3 linked regions of the Lytechinus pictus genome follow. The protein of the gene in region 2 purifies or fractionates together with the protein of the main gene of each other region. This does not show direct contact. Links are inferred from orthologs where the notes say so. Each region holds a gene or a part of one and is shown on either strand. Other genes may lie near its edges.

Evidence for each region.
Region 1: the proteins of LLGL scribble cell polarity complex component 2-like (region 2) and protein kinase C iota type-like purify together in Drosophila melanogaster (affinity purification with western blotting; 6 studies listed by BioGRID, with this or other methods). This does not show direct contact. The link is inferred for Lytechinus pictus from reciprocal best matches to the Drosophila melanogaster genes l(2)gl and aPKC.
Region 3: the proteins of LLGL scribble cell polarity complex component 2-like (region 2) and partitioning defective protein 6-like purify together in Drosophila melanogaster (affinity purification with western blotting; 5 studies listed by BioGRID, with this or other methods). This does not show direct contact. The link is inferred for Lytechinus pictus from reciprocal best matches to the Drosophila melanogaster genes l(2)gl and par-6.

Annotation. Positions count from the first base shown.
Region 1 is NC_087258.1:8,748,325-8,755,823, forward strand, and holds the start of protein kinase C iota type-like, read right to left. Parts: upstream 3,032-7,499; 5' UTR 2,431-3,031; coding exon 2,373-2,430; intron 1-2,372. UniProt on the Drosophila melanogaster protein: Serine/threonine protein kinase which is required for apico-basal cell polarity in the germ line as well as in epithelial and neural precursor cells, for epithelial planar cell polarity and for cell proliferation.
Region 2 is NC_087254.1:8,879,396-8,886,348, forward strand, and holds the start of LLGL scribble cell polarity complex component 2-like, read right to left. Parts: upstream 3,083-6,953; 5' UTR 3,068-3,082; coding exon 2,660-3,067; intron 1,950-2,659; coding exon 1,742-1,949; intron 1-1,741. UniProt on the Drosophila melanogaster protein: Essential for the development of polarized epithelia, for cell polarity associated with asymmetric cell division of neuroblasts during development, and for oocyte polarity formation.
Region 3 is NC_087246.1:69,801,055-69,808,321, reverse strand, and holds the start of partitioning defective protein 6-like, read left to right. Parts: upstream 1-4,195; coding exon 4,196-4,273; intron 4,274-7,267.

The sequences.
Region 1 (7,499 bases), on a different chromosome or scaffold from region 2:
TAGGCACAAATGGGAAAAGGTCTATTTATCTTCACATTTCAAATATACTGTAGGCTTATAGGTAACAATCAATAATTAAAAAAGATTTTCACAATTTATACAATAAATTGCAAAGCAACAGAAGATAGAAAAGTATAGAAACATGGAGTAAAAAGAAAAAAATGGGGACTGAGTAAATGGAAAGGTGTATAAATAGTAGATTGGCAATCTACGATATTTACCCTAAACAGCAATGGCATTTTGAGAGCTCTCATACTAATGGACTGATTAATGAGCTGGAAGAAAAATACTATAAGGAGAGCAGAGAGATCCCTGCTAGACTCTACAAAACCCACAAAAAAAATGAAGGTATGTATTTAAGAGGCATATTTTATTGGGAGATAAAGATGAGGCACAGGAAATTGAAAATATAAAACCAAACATCATTTTTCTTGAATTAGAAGACTGAACAAATGCATATTCGAATGTTAAAGATAAACCTCAATTCTGCCTGATACTAATAGCTGAATTGTGAAGGGAAAAAAAGGCTCAAAATGATTGAAAATTGATTGTTATTTTTTTTATTAACAACTGTAGGTACGAATGGTTGTTTATCATAGGCTATATGTTTTTTGTAGATTGATCAAACAAGCAATAATTAAAATAATAAAACAATAATTCAAATTATAATGATAGTGTAATTTGATTGATTCCACAGCCATGGACCGCACACAAACACATATGTATGAGACTACAAATTGTCATCCTGACCATTCCAGCTTTCACTGATCAGATGATTGTCAGGGTATTTGTATAAACTTATAAATAATTTGCAATGGACCTTTTTATTCTCTCTATTAATACTTTCATTTCATTTTTAATGCTTCTTCAATATATTTTTTTGTTCATCTTTGCTCCAAATGAGACTTTCAATATTTGATGCAGATTCCAAGAATGAGAAAGCAAAGCCTGACAAGGGCCCAGTAACACAAGGGTTAGCAAATTAATGGCTAATTTGAAAGAGCAATTCTGATTGGTTCTTAATCAATCAACAGAGCAAAATGTGTATGCAACGATGATCGTGATAGGTCATTTCATTTAGCGATTAATCGCTAACCTTTGTGTTAAGGGACCCAGGCACTGGAAAGGCCAGAAGAGTACCCATTCAATAATGCAGTGTATTTTTAATTGAAAGCTAGCTCATCATAGACTACACGTATCTCCATCGAGTGATTTTAAAGCCAGGCAGCAAAGACACAAATTGCATGGGCAGTGTAGGCCTGCGAAAGTAAAAAGGCCAACATATGGAATATGTATTTTTTAAGTACTCCATATACTACACAGCACTGTGTGATTACCAGTGTGGTTTAGCAAGTCAATCTCTGTTTATGTCTCATCTATAGGACTTGTTTATCGTTCAAAGACAGAGAGACCTAGGGATTCATCGAAATGACAACTGCAAGGGTGTCGGCCTTGAGCGCCCCACATACCTCCAGGTTCAGTGACTAGTCTGTATGCAGTTTATGCATATGATTTTATACTTTAAGAGGGAGACGGGGGATTCCATTTCTCTGATGCATAAGGCTTGAATATATATACGAGGAGGGAGTTTGAGTTGATAATTGTTACCTCTGATAATTAATAGCAATTAAGTTAAACCTTCTTTATTGTTGGTTTGTAGTCAACTTCAAAAGGAAAGAGGTCATCATTTGGTTTTTGTTATTAGTGGGCCTACATTAGGGCCTAAAGGCATAATATGGCAAGTGACATTTTGAAACTATATTTAGGGACAATTATTGAATTCCAAATAACAGAGATGTTGTCTTTTTTAAACCAATGTCAAATTCAGGGAATTGTCTTTAAGACAGTAGAAACTTGCCAACTTACCGTGTACTGCAACTTTACCCACAATTCACATGCATATTCCCACACAGCTTCCCATACAGCGTTAGCATCATTATATTCACATGCCACAACCAAAATCTATTCGTTCATGCCAGCATTCTGCTTCATTGTTATCGATCAAATTGTGAGAAAGAATGGATTCTATCCTTTTCCCCCCTCGCCTGATTTATTTCATTTTCTCTGAAAACAGCCAGAACCATTCCCTGGGAAATGGAATACACGACACAATCATGTCCTACTTTTTCTGATATAAAAAAACCTACTAGATGTAGATCTAGTAGTGTTAGCCACCATATCCTTTTGGTAGATTTTGCAATTCAATACAAAACCTGCTTTGAGAGATTCTTTCGGACTGGTAATGAACTATCTAGTATGGATCCACATGACAGCAAAGACAGTACAGGAGCTACACAGGATTCTACATTCAAGCAAACAGATTTCAGAGAAATCGACGACACTCGCTCACCCGTCTATATTTCATCACTCACATTTCACCAGCCGGAGAACGTACCCTTGAAAGAGTATCCTCGCCTTTCGGATGTCCATCTGTGCGACGCCAAGGAGTGATTTCCAGAGACAAAAATTATCCGCGTGATTCCATGGCAAAATGAGCTACACAGTAATGAAGATCCTCCTTGCAGCTGGGCCTATTTTCACTGACTAATATTTCATTTTCGTGTTTGTCCACAAAATATGGTTGGAAACGCAAACATGTTTGTGTCAGGGGGGTATACAGGCTTGGCTCTCGACTCATGAATGCATGATGGGCTGAGAGAAGGTTGCACGCAAACCACATACAAATAGCAGTATCCCACCGCTGTTACACATTCTGCTTATGGGGAATGTACACTGAGTGAACACACAGAGCAAGCAACCGTCGACAACCGGTTAATGCAATGAAAGCACTGTGCTGCTATGCCAGGAATGCTAAATCAATCTAAAAACAACGAAACATACAAGCTTGACACATGATGTCTATCCTCAGACTGTCCTTCTCTCTCGCTCTGTCTTTCTCTTGTTGGATGAGTGAGAGAGCAAATGTGCATCCTTGATTGAAATCTTCAAAGCGTGAGCTCATGCCAACATTCTAAAGTACTAGCGTCAACCGGCCAAATGTATCGGCTCTCCGAGAGAGGAAGACCGACTCAGCTGTCACTTCGCTGACTCGCAGGCACGACGCGTATGACATGACAGCCACACGATCCCCCTTCCCCGTCACCCCATGTAGCAATCGTTGGGGGGAGGGGGACGAGGGCCTGGGGGTAACACAGCATACTTGTGCGTTCTACGAGACAGATATACATTTAATCTTTATCATGCATGTATAGTAGCGGGAAGTCTATAATTAGCTTGCTTCATTGAAATAAACAATAACTTGTTGCCTCCTAATCTTGTTAGCAGAATATTTGTACGCCAACTGAATAAATCACGCTCCCTTCCCCCTCCTGCCCCTTCACTCTGGGTCAGATGACCTTTATTTTCAGCTCACCGAATATGACATTTTTTATTCAATAATGTTGTCAGAAAATCAGATATTATTCATTTGGTAGGCATACTATCAATTATTTACAGATTTATTGCAAATCCACGATATTCAATTTTTATTCAGATCAAATGAAGACATGCAGTCACTAAATGTTACTTACAGTACAGTAATGACACTATATACAGTAACTGCACAAACTTGTTATCATAATTCCAAAAGGGGTAATAAGCTGTACTATTATGAGAATACCAACAGATGTGCCTTATTTAGAAAAAAAGTTATATTTTCCATGCAATGTTTATAAATTCCCCTAAATAATATCCTCAATATCTGTTACATTTTTCTAAGACTCCCATTAGGTTTTATTTTAAGTACAGTAAAAAAAAATATTGATGCAAAGATTACTACCAAGTTATATCAATCAGAATCATTATAAATAAACTTTCTAGTATTAATTACTTGAATACAATTAAATATATCGCCACTGAAATATGAAATTAGAATGAACATAAAAAGTATTACTTATAAAAGCAGTGGAAAAGGAGTCCCGATTATATTTTTCTCAATTTATTGTGTAAAAATGTAGCCATTTCAACTTGAAGATTTCTGCTCATTTAATTTGAAAATTACTTTAGTAGCATCAAAAACAATATATGACAACAAAATTGCACATGTATCTCTATGTGATGTACTGTGTATTCAATGCATCTGTGTGCTATCTGTCAAGTCTCTATACATGTAGGCACTATACAATTCCTCAAGATCATCTTAATTTGGTCATGGTCGGCATCGGCAGTCATTATAGGAAACATGAGAAGGAACTAATTAATTGAAGACCTCTTGGTCATGATCATGAGGCGAGGCTCAAGGAAATTAATGCACAAATGTTGTCAGGGTTAGACTAGCTACTAAGGAGTGCGGAAATATGATCTTCAAGCAAATACTGAATTGAAGGCATGGGACTGCAGCCAAATTTTCCCCCAATAACCTGACATAATTAATGTTCAATTGTGTGAAGGGAATCAATGCTAAAATTCATGCTTTTATGAATCTAAACTTTGATTAATGACCACTTAATATATGTCATAAGGCTGAATTGTCCAGTCTTTTATCCCTAATAGTGTTCTAAAAGCATCCATGGCTTTATGAAAATTGTAATGTCAAGTAACCTCAAAACTAGATAAATATTTGTCTTTGTCTTCACAAATTCAAAGACAGCTATTTAAAATCTAATCTTTAATCTGTCTATTAGAAAATGCACAGAGAACATGTACGCCTATTGCTTTTCAATATGGTTCCATGTTTGCATCATTTCATCATTTATAGCCGAGAATCCACTAACGATATCCCATGAATACACCGGCAAAATGTCTGGTCATGCTCCGGAATTGTCCAGAGAAAAGATGTGATTTACATAATTGACGCTTGGATCGATACCGACGTATGCGTTACGTGGGAATGTCACCGCGCACCCCAGAGAATCGGTCAAATTGGGGCGCGCCAAATGGATCTCCGTCCATTGAGGGTTGGAGTATGTGTAGCAAAGACAGGTGAGAAGGGAACCACTGTGTTCAGACCATGAGAAACAACGATTTGGAGACGTTATTTTTTTTTAGATCTCACACCAATCCCTGGAGAAGTATGCGTAGAAAACACAAGTGTGAAGGACATCATAACACCATATTTTTTTATACTAATATCCTAGTCTTCTTAAAAAAAAAAGAAATCTTATACAAATTACCATCCAGTGGTACAGTAGATTATATATGAGTCAACCTTCCATATGCACTTATTTTTTACTGTGTTTTATCATGAGAAATGAAATCTATCAATCAAATAATCAATCAATCGATAAGTCAATAACTTGAAGCATTGTTTCACTTTCAGACCAGATTCCATAAAACAATGCTCATTTACATCTTAAAAGTTAAATTTTGGCTAAGTCGAACAGATTTCTGTGTTCTCCACTCGCCTTACGAAGAGTCTCCCGTTTACACACCAATACTAATGACTCCAACACTATTTTCCACATAGACTGATACGTGTAGAATGGTGTGATAGCTATTTTGATCAAATCCTTGAATTGTGGTAGGCCTTTAATCAAACATTCACTACTCATGCATACCTTACCTTTATCACCAAAAAATATTCCATTCTTGAGTCAGATGTTATTGCCGTGGAATATGAATTGTACATGTATGACTTATTTGCTCAAAGCCAAGCAGGCATAAAAATATGCTATGGTCGATTGGTGGTGGTTTTCAGCTACAGCTATTTGAACAATATTTCAGTGTCGAACACTGCCAAGTGGTGTGCATACATGCCTGATGCATAAGGTCACTCAATGGACAGTTGTACTATGAGTGACCTTACTGGACATGGAGGAAATGCAGAAGAGACATTACAGCATGCAGTCATAATGATGATGCAAACCAACGCCAGATTGATACGTGAATGACACTAAACTTACGCTGGACAGAAACCAGACTGTAACACCAAACTGATGTCAAGTCTAACAACAGAAATCAAGTCTAATACAGAACCGACTCCAAGTCTAACATAAGACTTAGTCTATCACCACAATAGCACTGAGTCCTACACCAGACTCGCACCCTGTCCAGGAGCAGACCAACACCAACACAACACTGATGCCAGTCCAATGCTGTAACCAACACAGATAGACGGTTTACACTAACACCAGATTGAATATATAGTTGTGCCAAAACTATGCAGAGGCCGCTGAACAAATTTGAAAAGGAGGGGGGGGGGGGCTGAACATGTATACAATCACAAATGGGTAATTTTCAAGTTTCTGTATACATACTGAAAAATAAGTGGGGGTGGGGTATGACCCTTTCAGCGGCCTGTTAGCATAACAAGAATAGAGGTTTTCATCACTTTGGCAGAATAACAAATGCTTAACTGGCATTGGATTGCTACACTGGTGAAAATATGAACAGACCACATAAGGAAGAGTGCAAATACCCTAAGCTTGCGTGTTTAATTAGCCAATAGATGTTTCTACACTACACACAGCCAAGGGTGTCTTATCTGCTTTTCCCTAACCAATTTACATCATTAAAAGTCAAATAATAAACTTTAATCAGGTCAGCTGTGCTTCTTTGCTCTTACTGGGCTTGATAACGAGGCCATTATCTCTATGATATAATCACTTATCACTATATCTCAGTTGAGACCTCTGACCCTTCATATAGGACTATGCTGTACCCTTCGTATTAAGGTCTTGGATTTAAAGATATTTGAAGGTTGAAGAAAATAGGGAAACATCTAATTCCTGATAGATTTGCAGATTATTCTACATACAACTATCAAATATCATAATGATGTAAGATTTTGCAATTGACTAAAGTAGTCAATGTTGCAAAACTGACTAAAGTAGACCTGCTGAGAATTTTAATGCACTGCAAACATATAAATGCATGAATGGGACTACACCACAAAATATTTCTGCTGTCTTGCCACTTTTGTGTCATTATAGCTTAAATTGTGAGTGCATTTGAAAAGCAATCCTTTTACAGTGGATGTTTTTTCCAATGTTCTTCAAAAATATATGGAAAAGATCTAGAACTAAAAGCTTTGAATTATCTGTCCACCTTTCCCACAACAGATTTTTAATCAAAATTAAGATATATTTCTATCTTAGTATCTACATCTTTCTATTCTAAATTTCTAAATAAAAAGCCCTTGTGATTAAACAATTAAAAGCTTCAATAATGCCTATTTGCCATTCACATTTGAAAGAAAAATGAGCTCTTGTTTCTTGTCTGAACGGGGTACCTCACCACGGGACAAACGATGGGGGAGCAACGAACGAAAGGAGATTGCAAGCCCTGGTTTAGGTTTGACGCCCTTTTCCTTCCTTCCTGCCTTCCTTCAATCTCCCTATCCCTCCATCCCAGGCCAGCGTTTCCTGGACACTCCCACATCTAGTCTCTCATGTCCAGACCCCATTATCATTTCATAAACCCCAAAAAGAAAAATGCTCACAATCACAAAAGTATATTAAAAAGTATATGATGCCTTATTCACATAAAATATGTAGAATTTTTTTTTCTCCAAAAGTGAAGTCTTTGGTCTAAAGTATAATATAATCCTTTCAAACGGAGAA
Region 2 (6,953 bases):
CAGGGAGAAAAAAAATCAAATTGAAATTCCCCGGGGATTACCTTTCACATGATCATATCCATATCACTGATCACTTTTCAAGGTATGAACTGTACGGAGAGAAACCTTACAGTATCCTGGTTCAGTATTCTTCAATTCATACTTTCACCATCGGTTAACTGGCATTCGGTCTAGACCTTGCTTTGTCTCCTTTCCATCTGGTCTTATCCCACATGGTTAAATCCTAGTTTGCCTACTAACCGATTGGTCTAATTGACATTTGGCCCATTTACCACTATGACTCATTACAAGTTTAAGTCTGTAGTCATTTTGTCTAATATCCATTTGGTCTAATACTGCTTATTATACATTACTAGATACATCATTTACCAATCAACAAAGTCCAAAATAATTAGGATTCCAAGTGGAGATTAGACCGTCTAGGAATTTTGATAAATGGTAATTATACAATAGACCAGTTTGTAGTTACTTCATGGACAATTTTGGTCGAATGACCTTTCATTTCTTTCATTAAGATAGGCAGATTTCAAAGCAAGATATTACGTATGCATGCCTTACATAGCGGGATGAAGAAATTGAATAGACCAGGTGACTAGAATAGCACATCAATGAACACTCTATGAAGGTATTTGTTGAATTCTACTTTGAATGCATATTAGACGATGTTGTACAATGTACTTGGCAAACTGTGAAATATACCAGTCATTCGTGGACGCATTGTTTTTTGTGGATGTGAATGAAAAACATATTCAAAAGAATATATGAATAATCAAGACATCGAAGTTGGTGCTTATCTCATTAAATTTTAAACCACCATGTCACTTTAGTACAAATGACCTTCCTCTGATCATGCGCAGAATCTTCTGATCATGCGCAGATGGGAACTACGAACTGGCTTATTGGGTATAGACTAAGTGTAGTGTAGGCCAAAAGGAAATCGGCCCATATTGATGGTAGATCAAGTAGGTTTTAGCACATGTGGTATCAGACTACTAGTATTGGAGACATAGACCAACTGCTTGTATTTCAAGCAAATATAAACCTCCTAACCAGCCAAGACAAATCCTATGCTCAGGTTATAACTTGGTTCATAGAAAAGGCAAACCCAAGGTGCACCAAGTACAGTAGTCAGGAAGGTGACACGACATTTGCTCCTGCGGCAATTGCTCTGGGCTTAATTTTGTCTAAGATGTAGGATTAGGCTTGCAATGGAAATTTATGTTAGGTTTAGGGTAGGGTATAGTGTTAAACCCAGGGTTGAAGTTGGTCATTCGATTATTGTGTGGAATTTAGAGCGGAGCAATTGTCGCCAGAGCAAATGTCATGTGTATGCCGCACTGAAAAGCTATCTTCTACCAGAGGAATGAAAGGTTATTGTATGGCACCAGAGGTTTTGTTGGCCATCAGGATGCTAGTCTTGCGTACCTAATATACCACATTGAAAAGCTTTCCTCTACCAGAATGGTACCAGAGGTTCTTTGGCCAGTGAGGATGCTAGACTTGCTTACCCAATATGCAACACTGAAAAGTTTTCCTCTACCAGGAAGAAGAAAGAACGTATGGGACCAGAGGTTTTTTGGCGGGTGAGGGTGCTACTCCTGCTTCATTATGCCACAGTGAAAAGTTTTTCCTCTACCAGAATGGTACCAGATGTTCTTTGGCCAGTGAGGATGCTAGACTTGCTTACCCAATATGCAACACTGAAAAGCTTTCCTCTACCAGGAAGAAGATTAATTCTTACCGTATGGCACCAGAGGTTCTTTGGCCGGTGAGGATGCTCCGGAGACCTTCCAAACCTGGTAGCTACCGTCATTGTGAGAGCTGGTGAAGTGGGTTCCATCCCGGTGCCAGCATAGAGATTCTATCTGGTGACCAACGAACGAAGCTTCAAGCATCAGCTCACTCTGGAACCAGATGATCATCAGTCCTCGGTTGTAGCCGATCAAGAGCTGTGTACCAAAAAGAGAGGGAAAAATTCATCATTAATGCACAATGCTTTGAAGAATTACGGTTCTACTGTTATACGAAAATAAGGAAGAACCATGAACTCTGCCTTAGTTGAACCATTATACATGTACTTCAGACAGACCAAGTCTATTTACGTTAATTCCAATGGTATCCCATCGGTCAGTTTGGAATCAGTTTCGGTGGTGTGATTTTCGCTTTAAGGACCATAGAAACAGTCTCATACTTAGACTATATACATGTACCTTCATCTTACTTTCATAGTTGTTTTTTTTTTTTTTTTAATCGATGATGGTCCAGGGGCAGTTTTTGGTATGAAACCCCACGTCATTTTGCAGTCAATAAAAACAAACAACTATTGTAAAATGACGATGAGCTCATACAAGGTAAATCAGGCAGAAAACACAGAATATGAGCTTCAAATAAGAAATTTCATAACTTGCAAGCAACTAATGCAGGCATGTATTAGAGAACATTATAGAGTTCTCTATACATGCTTGATAAGGTGCGACTGCATATGTCTGTGTTCAGGCGACATGTGGCGATACACAAGCCAAACAGGCAAAGGTGTGACATGCCACATTAGAGAGGCTATGGTAGCTGCAAAACCTATCAATCTTGACTTTCCAAAGAAGCAAAGAAAAAAATGATATCCGGGTGTCATGAAATATCTTTCTAGGAATAGGATACTTACTCTATCCTTGTCACTGGGGTGTTGGGCGATGGCCTCCACTGCGCCGGGGTTCACCTTGAAGTCATCAGGTACACTGGAAGATGGAGAATCATTTAACCTGGTTAGGGGGGCCATGCCACACACCCAACAGGTGGTGGTCCAAGCAGTGGAGGGGAGTAGTGGGGGTGTAGTGGGGGTGTAGTAGGGGTGTTGTAGGGGTGGAGGTGTGACGATGGTGGTTAAAGGGTGGTAGAAGAGAGGTGAATGAAGTGGAAGGTATGATGGATAAAAGATGGATGGAGGTATTGTGGAAATGGTAGACGGTTTATTGAAGGGATAGGGAGTAGATTCAGCGATAGCGGAAGGGAGTATTGAAGTTGTGGTTGCAAAGATGTCGAGCAGTACGGTTTCGAGAGTGGTTATTGACATTAGGGGAAGAAGGGATGAGTACAATATTGTGAGGATGAGAGGTAACAAATGTTAGAGGAGGGGGAGTTCAAAGAACAAATAGAGTGATTAGATATTCAAGGGTATAAAAGGACAGTTGTGGTAGATGATATGTGGGTTATGTATGACACATGGGGATTTGAGAGGGTGGAAAGTCGACATAAATTTGATGTACAAGAAGCAGAAGCAACAACAAAGAGAGGAAAGTAGGTGGATGGTGGTGTGACAAATAGTTTCATCCAGGAAAAGGGAATTAAATACAGGATGATCAAGGAATCATGCAAAACAATAAGCAACGAGATCGAGTACAAAGATATAAATGAGAATGGGTGAAAGGCAGAGAAGGGAGAAGACATTGTTGGCATGGAAACAATGAACATATAAACAAGTAGTATACAGAAATGAATAATGTGACATTACGAAATGAAAATAAAAGAGGATTATGACAGTAGTAAGACGAGTATCAGACGTGTGATGGAATCACAGAATAGGTAAACATTGACATGAGATGATAAGGATGATGTGAGATGAGGGAGGGGTATGGAAAGGGGTGGGGGTAAAAAAAGGGGGGATGAAGCAAAGCAATGAAGTAGTAATAAGTCACCAGTTACCCAAGATCAGTTAATACTATGATTATAAATGAGGCTAAAGCAAATGAATAATAAACAGAGGAACGCTTGAAAATGGATGTCTCCTATCAAACTATCAAACAAATTGATATTGGATTTTTTTTCCAGTATATTTCATAATCACATATATTTTTTTTAATATTTCAACCATTAAATTGGTGCACGATATCTTTTGAAGGGAAAAATTAAAACTCATAACATCCATGTTCAACAGCTGGGCCTGTAACACAAAGGTTAGGGAATAATCACTAATTTAAAAGAGCAATTCTGATTGGTTCGTAGTCACTCTACTGAGCAAAATGTGCATGTAACAAAGATCTTGATAGGCCATTTCATTTAACGGTTAATCGATAACCTTTGTGTTACGGGGCTCTGGTATTACATAAATGACAACTTAACTGATGATTAAAATAAATCTAGTATCAATAATAATGATATCCATGAATTAACTGCATGTATGGCAATGTTAGTTTAAAAACCCAAGTTTTGCTCAGGGATTAAATGCAAATGCAACGCTACACAATGAATACAATTGAAATGTTTACAATGACTCATAACATACTCCCCTACACGTGCTCTCTCCTTTCATTTACATGTACTTTGAATACATCACTACACTGGAAATCAAAGTAAATATTTCCCCTGTTCCATTTCAATAAAGCACAAAATAAATACAGCAAAAATGATATCATTATAGAATTATCCTGTTCGAGCTGGTTAAGAGGTTACTCTTGTTATAACTATACAAGTGTCAGAAAGCAGTTGTTAAGGTGCATATTTCACTGAAAAAATAACCTCCACTGCAAAATAACTTCAACAAAGTATTATTCTATATCAAACAGCTGCAAATGATAATGCATTAATAACTACATGTATTCATGACACCAACACGAAAGAAACCACACCAGGTACGTCAATCTATTCATACACTAAATTGTATCAATTATAATTTCACTGTTATAACTTCTACTCTCTGTTTCTAAATGATTGGTTAGTGGAAAGCTGTAATCATGAAAGCAAGGCTGTGATAATTTTATCAAGCTTTTAATTATGCTTCAAAAGAAAAAAGTACTACAGTACGACTGCCCTTAATGCCAGTTGGCATTAAGAGCACACATCGATGCATGTTGTAGATGACACATTAATATGACATTATTCTGACGTTGCTGAAATGAAGCGCTTTCATGCGACAGAACAGATGTACATACTAAATGGAGAAATGAACAGGATGGCAGTTAATTGCAGTTTATGAGAGGCAACAGTATCGCAGATATTCATGCAGTCGTTAAAGAATAAAGATGAAAATTTATGATGTCCAAAGCAAAGGATAGTATCATTAGTTACTATATTTGATAACAGATAAACGAGGGGTGGTGAAGGGGGATCAAGCAGTATACACAAAAGTGTTTGAATAGGAGAGGGTGGGGTGGTAGAAATTGGGACAGAGGCAGAATTTGGGATGGGATGGTTGAACTTTGGATAGATGGTAGAATAAGGGGTAGATGGTAGAGTATAGGGAGGATGGTATTTTGGGGAAGAGGGTAGAATTGGGGGTACATGTAGATGGTAAAATTTGGGATGGGATGGTAACATTTGGAATAGATGATAGAATTTGGGGTAGGATAATAGAATTTGGGATAGATGGTAGAATAGTGGGTAGAATGGTAGAATTTGAGGTGAATGGTAGAATTGGGGATGGGATTGTAAAATTTGGAATAGATGGTAGAATTTTGGGTAGATGTAGAATTTTGGATGGGATGGTAAAATTTGGGATGGGATGGTAAAATTTGGAATAGATGGTAGAATTTGGGGTAGATGTAGAATTTGGGATGGGATGGTAAAATTTGGAATAGATGGTAGAATTTTGGGTAGATGTAGAATTTTGGATGGGATGGTAAAATTTGGGATGGGATGGTAAAATTTGGAATAGATGGTAGAATTTGGCGTAGATGTAGAATTTGGGATGGGATGGTAAAATTTGGGATGGGATTGTAAAATTTGGAATAGATGGTAGAATTTGGGGTAGATGTAGAATTTGGGTTGGGACGGTAAAATTCGGGATGGGATGGTAAAGTTTGGGATGGGAGTGTAAAATTTGGAAAAGATGGTAGAATTTGGGGTAGATGTACATGTAGAATTTGGGGTGGGTGGTAGAATTTAGGGTGGAATGGTGGAGTTTCGGGTGGATGGCAAAATCTGTGGTAGATGGTCGAATTTGGAGATGGTGGGATATGGGGAAGATGGTAGACTTTAGGTGGGGTGGATAATAGTAATCTAGAAATTATGAGAGACCATTGGCCAAACTCTTGGGTATCCAAGGCTATGGACCCTGTTTCATAAAACAACAGTTACTATTATGGTATCTACATGAACACCATTTCACGATAACTACCATTGTAAAATTGCTAAACAGCCAATTAGAATCAGTGGTTTCATGGGTGTTTCCACTGGATGGCAAAGATACATACCATAATATTTACTTAGTTACTTTTGAGAAACAGTGTCCTTACAGAGGGTGTAGAAAGGAGTGGGAAGGGTAGGGTCTAACATCTGACTTTTGTTTACGTCACTCTTAATATTGTTCGTTATCATGAACAAAGTAAGTAACAATTTAACAGCATACAAACATGACAGTTTCAATAGTAATTTCAAAGTATAAAACATGGTTAGTAAGCTTATGATCAATAACTTAAAATCCTCTTTTACAATGACAGCAACAGAAAGGGTGTGTTTTCTGGACTGCTATTGTAAGCACTAAGCCCCAATCATGTCAGACATTTAAGACATTTCTGAGCATGATTACTAAATTTGAATACTACTAGCTGATAATTAGAGTCATCATGGGGCAGTAGTGTAAGCAGGATTTTTTAAAGGGGGGTGGGTTTCAAGCTGAATGAAATGTTGACAAAAAAGGGTCTTCAACACAAATTTAACGTCGTTTCGTACCTCAAAAAGAATTGACAAGCAAAAAAAAGGCCTTCAAATTTTTTTTTTTTTTTTTTTTTAAATCTTGGGGGTATAAAAAATTAAGGGGGGTTGAACCCCTGTAACCCACCCCCCCCCCTGCGTATGCAACTGTCATGGAGTCATCTGCAAAAACCAATTAAGTACAGGGGGTAAATTCTTTAACAGGATTGGTCTAAATTCCATTCTGTTGGTGAATGTGTGTTCGACCAAACATAATGGTCACAATCAAACTTTGGGTCGTTTCTAAATAATAATTTGATCAGATCAAATAC
Region 3 (7,267 bases), on a different chromosome or scaffold from region 2:
CTATTGCATATTCATGATGGCGTTCATAATACTGTTTTCGCAAAAAATGATATTGCTTAAATTTAAAATTCGCGATTTGTGATATTTTCAGTGGGTTGCTCGGTGAATTTTACTCTTCATTTTATTTAAATATAATTATTTTTCAGCCAGGGGTGCCCTTTTAAACGTACGGTTAGGCCTAAGATGTGTCTATTTAACTATTATAGTCGAAACAAAAAAACTCGAAGGATTCAAGTTTACTTTATCAAGATTTTGAAAACATATTTGCTGTAAAAGGCCTTCACTTTGTACATCTAAATGTTAGATCTATTCTACCAAAAATTTCAGAACTTCGAATTCTTTTTAAGAGAAAGAATCTTGCAGTCATTGCTTTCACAGAAACATGGCTAAATAACTCGGTGAACGATGAAGAAATCAATATAGATGGATACAAAGTAATACGCAATGATAGATTATCAGGTTCTGGGGGTGGTGTATGTTTTTATGTCCGAAATGATATTGCATTCAATATCATAGATGTTTTAAGTACAGGTGATTCTGAATCACTGTGGATTAATTTGCTTCTACCAAGATCAAAACCAATTATTGCTGGCGTCATTTATAGGCCTCCGAAAAGCAATCAATTTATTGAGAAGATGTCAAATATTCTCGATATATTAAAGAAAGATGATGAAATTATACTTTTAGGCGATATGAATGTTTGTCTTTTTCAGAAATCTCCACTGGCTAAAAAATATACTGACTTATTGAGTCTTCATGGATTTAGCCAACTCATCAAAGATGCAACCCGTGTCACTCACACATGTTCTTCTTTATTGGACCATGTGATTTGTAATAACGAACAAAAAATAAGTCAAAGTGGTGTTATTGATCTTGGTATAAGTGACCATTCTTTTACTTTCTGTACACGAAAGAAAATTAGGCTGGCTATAGGTGTTCACAGAACCATTGATATCAGATCGTTGAAAAAATATAGCGAAGAATCTTTCAATCTTAAACTGTCTGCCGTTGATTGGTCAGATTTAACCCAATGCACTGACGTAAATAAGGCTTGGTCAGTTTTTCAAAATACTTTTATTTCAACGTTGAATATGATAGCGCCTCAAAAACGGATTAGAATTAAACAGAGATCAGAAAACTGGATGACTAAAGATATTATTTCTCTTATTCGAGAAAGAAATGTGGCGTATAAAAAAATGAAGAAAAATCTAAGCGGTCAGGATTATGACACGCTTTCCAAAAGATACAAGAAATTAAGAAATATGGTTCAAAGAGAGGTGAAAAAGGCCAAATTAGAATACCTACAAAATAAAATAGAAGAAAATAAAAATGATTCTAAAAGACTTTGGCAGAATCTAAAAAGTTTGGGATTAAAAAAGAAAAATGGAAAGGACCAAGAATTAGTCGTTTCAATTGACGGAGAATTATGTCATGATAAGATAACTATTTCCAATGAATTCAATTCCTATTTTACAAATGTCGCAGCTACGTTGGTAGATAAACTTCCATCTTGCAAAGATATTTTCAGTGCAGACAGTGAAAACATTCGTAAATTTTATGAAAAAAAGGGTATAAGCCAAGATAAATTTGAATTATTACCTGTTAGTGATCAATTCATTTTTAATGAGTTGCGTAAATTAAATGTATCAAAAAGCACTGGGTTAGATTTGATACCTGCTAAATTTCTAAAAGAAGGAGCAAAGAGTTTGTACAAACCATTAAATTTCTTAATAAATCTATCTATCTTTACTAGCACTTTCCCAGAGGATATGAAAATTGCAAAAGTAACTCCTATTCATAAGAAGAAAGATAAAACTGCTGTTGAAAACTATAGACCTATCAGTGTTTTAAGCATAGTATCCAAAATTCTAGAAAAGGCGGTATGTGTTCAGATCGAAAAATATTTTAAAGAAAATGATATGATTTACGAGTCAGGTTTTCGACATGACTATTCGACTGAGACATGCCTTATTCACTTGACTGATTATCTGAGAACAAATATGTCTAAGGGACAATTCGTTGGGATGGTACTCCTAGATCTTCAAAAAGCATTTGATACAGTTAATCACGGCATCTTATTGAAAAAATTACAAATAATGGGTTTTAACCAGGCTACTGTAGCATGGTTCAAATCCTACTTGTCGAATCGACATCAAGTAGTGGCTATTCGCGATATTTGTTCCAAAATTATGCCTATAACGTGTGGAGTTCCACAGGGAAGTATTTTAGGCCCAATCCTATTTTCAACTTATATCAATGACATGTCTATTTGTTTAAAAGCTGATTGTAAATTATTATTGTATGCAGATGATAGCGTACTACTTTGTTCAAATGCCAACCCAAAATTTGTTGAGGAAAAACTTAGCGAACAGCTGTCTACATGTGTCGATTGGATGACTGATAATAGATTATCGTTACACTTAGGCAAAACCGAAAGCATTCTGTTTTGTTCTAAAAGTAATCATAAAACTTCATTTGAATTTGAAGTATCATACAATAATAAGATAATTCATAGGAAAGAATCTGTAAAGTATTTAGGCATTGAGTTGACTAGCTCCCTTTCATTTTCATCTTTAGTAGAATCAATCGTAAAAAGGGCGAATGCCCGTTTGAAATTTTTGTACAGGTATCAAAGTTGTATGGATCAAAAAGCAAGGCGTATTCTCTGTTTTGCTCTTATTCAGAGTTTATTTGACTATGCCAACCCTGCTTGGTTTAGTGGCATAAGCGAACTCGATAAAAAGAAGTTGAAAATTATACAGAATAAAATGGTTAGATTCATTAGCTGTTCTGGTCCCAGAACCCATGTTGGCTACACCGAACTCTCTGGAGCAGGTTTTCTTGAAGTCAACAAAAGATCAAAACAGCTTATTTTGCACCACGTGCATAAAATCTATCACAATAGATCGAATCATTACATTGGATCAAACTTTAATCTAGTTACCGAAATACATAACTATAATACAAGAAACAGCCATTTCAATTTTTGCTTACCAGAAAGGGTAGGTAGTATTGGTAACTCATTTTATTACAATGCTATAAAACATTGGAATTCCCTTCCCAATGATATAAAGGAAATAGGAAACTTTTTGCATTTTAAGAGGAAATTGAAAGAATATCTTTCACTTGAGAGTCAAAAAGAAGATGCAAATGATATGTTGTACGGTTGATTTAGCCTGAATACTGACCTAGTTCTTTTCTCTTCTCTACTTGGTATTATTATGTATTTTACATAGTTTGATTGAAGCTTCGATATGTCCTTTCTTCTATTCTTTCTATTTCTTTTATTTCTTCCTATTCTCCTCTTCTTGTTGTTATTGTCGTCACGTTTATGCTGTTGTTCTTCTCCTTATTTATTTCCCTTCGTTGTCAGTTTCTTCCGTCTCCTTCTACTCCTCGTCCCCCTCTTCTTCTGTTCCTCCTCTTCCTTCTCCTTCTTTTCTTCTTCTTCTTCGTTATATTCTTGTATATATCTTATTTATTGTCTATATATCTTATTTATTGGTAATAGTAAATTCTGATTTTTTTTCTTCATTTTTAATATGTAAATAGTATAATTTTAACATTTTATTATCTTAATTCTGTATATTGAGGACCCCACTGGAAATAAGCTTTCGAGCTTTCGTGGGTCATCCTGTGCAAGCCTGTTGTTTTAATGCTACTGTATATATGTTATGGTGACTTGCCAAATAAAATCAATCAAATCAATCAATCAATCAATCAATCAATCGAACCGCGGACTTCGTCATGCAGATACCACTATAGTGTCGAGAAGTTAAAAGGAAATGGCGCCATCCTACACTTTGCACGCCCAATCCAAAGGTGTGTCCCTTTATGACTCAACTTTGTTCTCACACACACCCACATGAAATAGAATAAATTAATTTTTTCTAATTGATGATGTTAATTAACAGAGCCTTTTCTCTAGAATACATTGAAGAAAAATACTGGGGAAATTCGATGTTGAAACAAGGGGCACCACGGGGGCACCAACAGTACCAAGTTGACTGGTTGGCGGAAGTAATTTGGAAGTGGGTTTATATCTGACGTCACAGCCAACTGATGTATCAGCGACATCACATCAACCCGTAATTTGTCAATTTGATTACCTCTTTGGAAGGAAATAGGAAGCAATAGGATTACTCTTTGGAGAATTGATGATTTCCCGCTTCAAATGCGGGATTCGGTGGGCATTATGGCGAAAAATGGATCCACGACAATGCTCAATGGGAGCAACAGATGGGCTAAAGGACTGAAAGAAATCAAAAGCAAGGTGAGTATTTCATTGGTGTTCTCTCAGACTCATGTCTCTGCTCTAGCACTGACACTACCGGTACTCTGTCACAGCAGGCTAGGCCTCCTTCGCGGCCGCGGCGGAGCCGGCGCCCCTTGCCCTTGCTGCTTGTTGCCTGAACAGGCGCTGTCCTCTGGCTCGAGTCTAGACATGGACCAAGATGAATGTTATTAATTACTAACTAAGTCACTATTATTGATAACTGCAATATTATTTTCTTTATCATTTTGAAAACACGACCCAGCTGCCCAGTGTAATAACTTCAAGTCCTTTTCATGAAAGAATCGTACCATAAAAAAAGGAGAATGATCGATACATCATACCGGGCGTAAGGACATTTAATATTCAACCCGTTTGGAGACTTTCCTCAGATATATAGAAATATGGAATTTACCTTAATTTCAGACCTGTCTTATATCCAAGAGCAAATGCTGGTTATTCTTTTTGGAATTTTGCATTATTTTTTTCTTCAACCCGTCGACGCGACTGCCGGGGCGATCAAATTATTCGGCGATGGTTTTGGCACTAGTAAGTACATGTAGTATTCAACCTGTCGCCAGTCGGAAGATTTTTTTTTCAATTATGGAATTGGAAGAAGATCAGAAGGACAAAAAAGAGAAAATAGACATACATAGTTCTAAGTAGGATAAAAGAGAAGAAGACAAATGGAGGAAGAGAAATAGTAGGATGAGGAGAGAATTTTGAATGGCCATTTTCATTTTGGCAGGCTAAAAAGGTCTTGATGGGGGCAGATCACCTATCATTAAGTTCTTCCCATTCATTATTTGCACCACTCTATAAAATTTGAACTACATTTATACAGTGCTTCCCAGAAAAAACGAAACCGAGGTTTAGTGATGATTTATCATAACTTAATCATAAATCTTCTCTTTCAGAAGGTATAACATACAAGATTTCTCATCCACGCATGAGTGAGACAGTGGGTAAAAACAATTTGAAGAAAGGATAGCAAAAAGTCATTTGGCGGGGGGTATCAAAATTAAAAAAAAATCACATGCCTAAAAATTTAAATATCTGTTTTTTAATGTAGCTAAATCGCAGAAAATGGTCAAGAAATAATAAAGCTATGGTTCTTCAAAATAATTCTTGTATTTCCATAATTTCATGAAACATACATGTTTTCACCGGTTTCCCGCAGAAGCTATCGCACGGTTAACAAAAGACTTTATGCATGGCTGATCATCAACAAAACGGATTGTCAAGTAAGTCTGAAAGTTATCCAGTATTAAAACCTCTTCATTTTATGAATTATTGGACTTCAAGCCTTATTTCAAATAAACAGAACTAGGTTTAATACTTCTTGAACGTTTTCTGTTATTGAGGTATCAAATTAAAGAGCAGATATTGAATTTTTTAATGTGATTTTTTTTTTGAAACTCAGATACTGCCCGCCAAGTGACTTTTTGGTTTCCTTTCTTCAAATTTTTTTTGCTCACTCAGGCATGAATGATAAATAATCTTTTTTCAAATGAAAGAGGAGACTCTTCTTTACAATGATAGGTCATTTGTCTATTGTATTTGTGATTAAGTTATGAAAAATCATCGATAAATATCGGTTTCGTTTTTTCTGGGACGCACTGTATACATGTAGTTCAAATTTTATAGAGTGGTGCAAATAATGAATGGGAAGAAATTAATGATAGGTGATCTGCCCCCATCAAGACCTTTTTAGCCTGCCAAAATGAAAATGGCCATTCAAAATTCTCTCATCCTATTTCTCTTCCTCCATTTGTCTTCTTCTCTTTTATCCTACTTAGAACTATGTATGTCTATTTTCTCTTTTTTGTCCTTCTGATCTTCTTCCAATTCCATAATTGAAAAAAAAATCTTCTTCAGCCTGGTGTAGTACAGAAGTAAAGTTAGTACTGTAAAACTATGGTACCATGCCATACAGGTACAATGAATCGCCTTCCTATTGTGTAGGCTACTCTACATACTCTGGAACTCATCCTTGCAAAGGGAAAATATCATTCTGAGCAAAACTTTTTTTTTACAGAAAAGTGATTTTTTTAATGCAAATGTGAATATTGGAGAAAATTATTGAGTGGCTGATGTAACATTCAATTACATGCCTATTCTGCTTTGTATCTGTCGCAAATTTGTAATACACTTGTAAAACTTTATACTAGAGACTATTTTTAGTTTTGGTAATACAATCATAGAGAGCATGTATTACAGAAGGAGATCCTTCTTCCAATTCCTCTGTTAATCCTTTGTTATCGCTTCCCTCTGGCGAAGGAACGATATCTAACATCAATCGGCAAGCCGCCAGGCGAAAGTAAGAGCCCGCTTACGTAACGCAATAAGCCCGCTCGTAAAATCTGAGGTCAGTGATTTTTTTTAAGGTCCCTGCGAGGCACCGCCGAAAACGACGTTCTTCCACATAACTTCGAGCTCTGTTTTTTTCAAAATCGAAACACGACTTGCTGTACTTCCAACATCCATATCACTTCGTACGGATTTCTGTACGTCTTTGATGTATGGTTGAACTTCTGAGATGATCCCCTTTGCATACATACCAAATACGTCACAATCTGATTTGACTCAACAAAATTACAAACGGAGGAACTTTAGAGATTGGTCATTTTAGGTATGTCTGTCTTTCTTCCGTAGTTAAATCTTTTCCTGCTCGTACATGTTTTAGAAATTATAAGGTGAAAAAGCATACTTTGAGCTTAATTTTTATGCAAAGATCATTTGCGTGATTACAATGGCCTTGATACTATAACGACGAATCTACGATCCATTTCTACGTCGATTGATGCATCGTCGAGTATCTTCCAGTGCCCCACGTACTCCTATTTGTGTAAGTTGAAGGTGAGTGTGATGGTTGAGCTCCGAGCTTGCGCACCCAGCTCATTCATACAGTACAGGCCTCAGCTCCGGACCGTTTCGGAAAAACCTGAATTGACTCATTTGAAGAGATAGATCTAGACCTAACTTTTATGATAT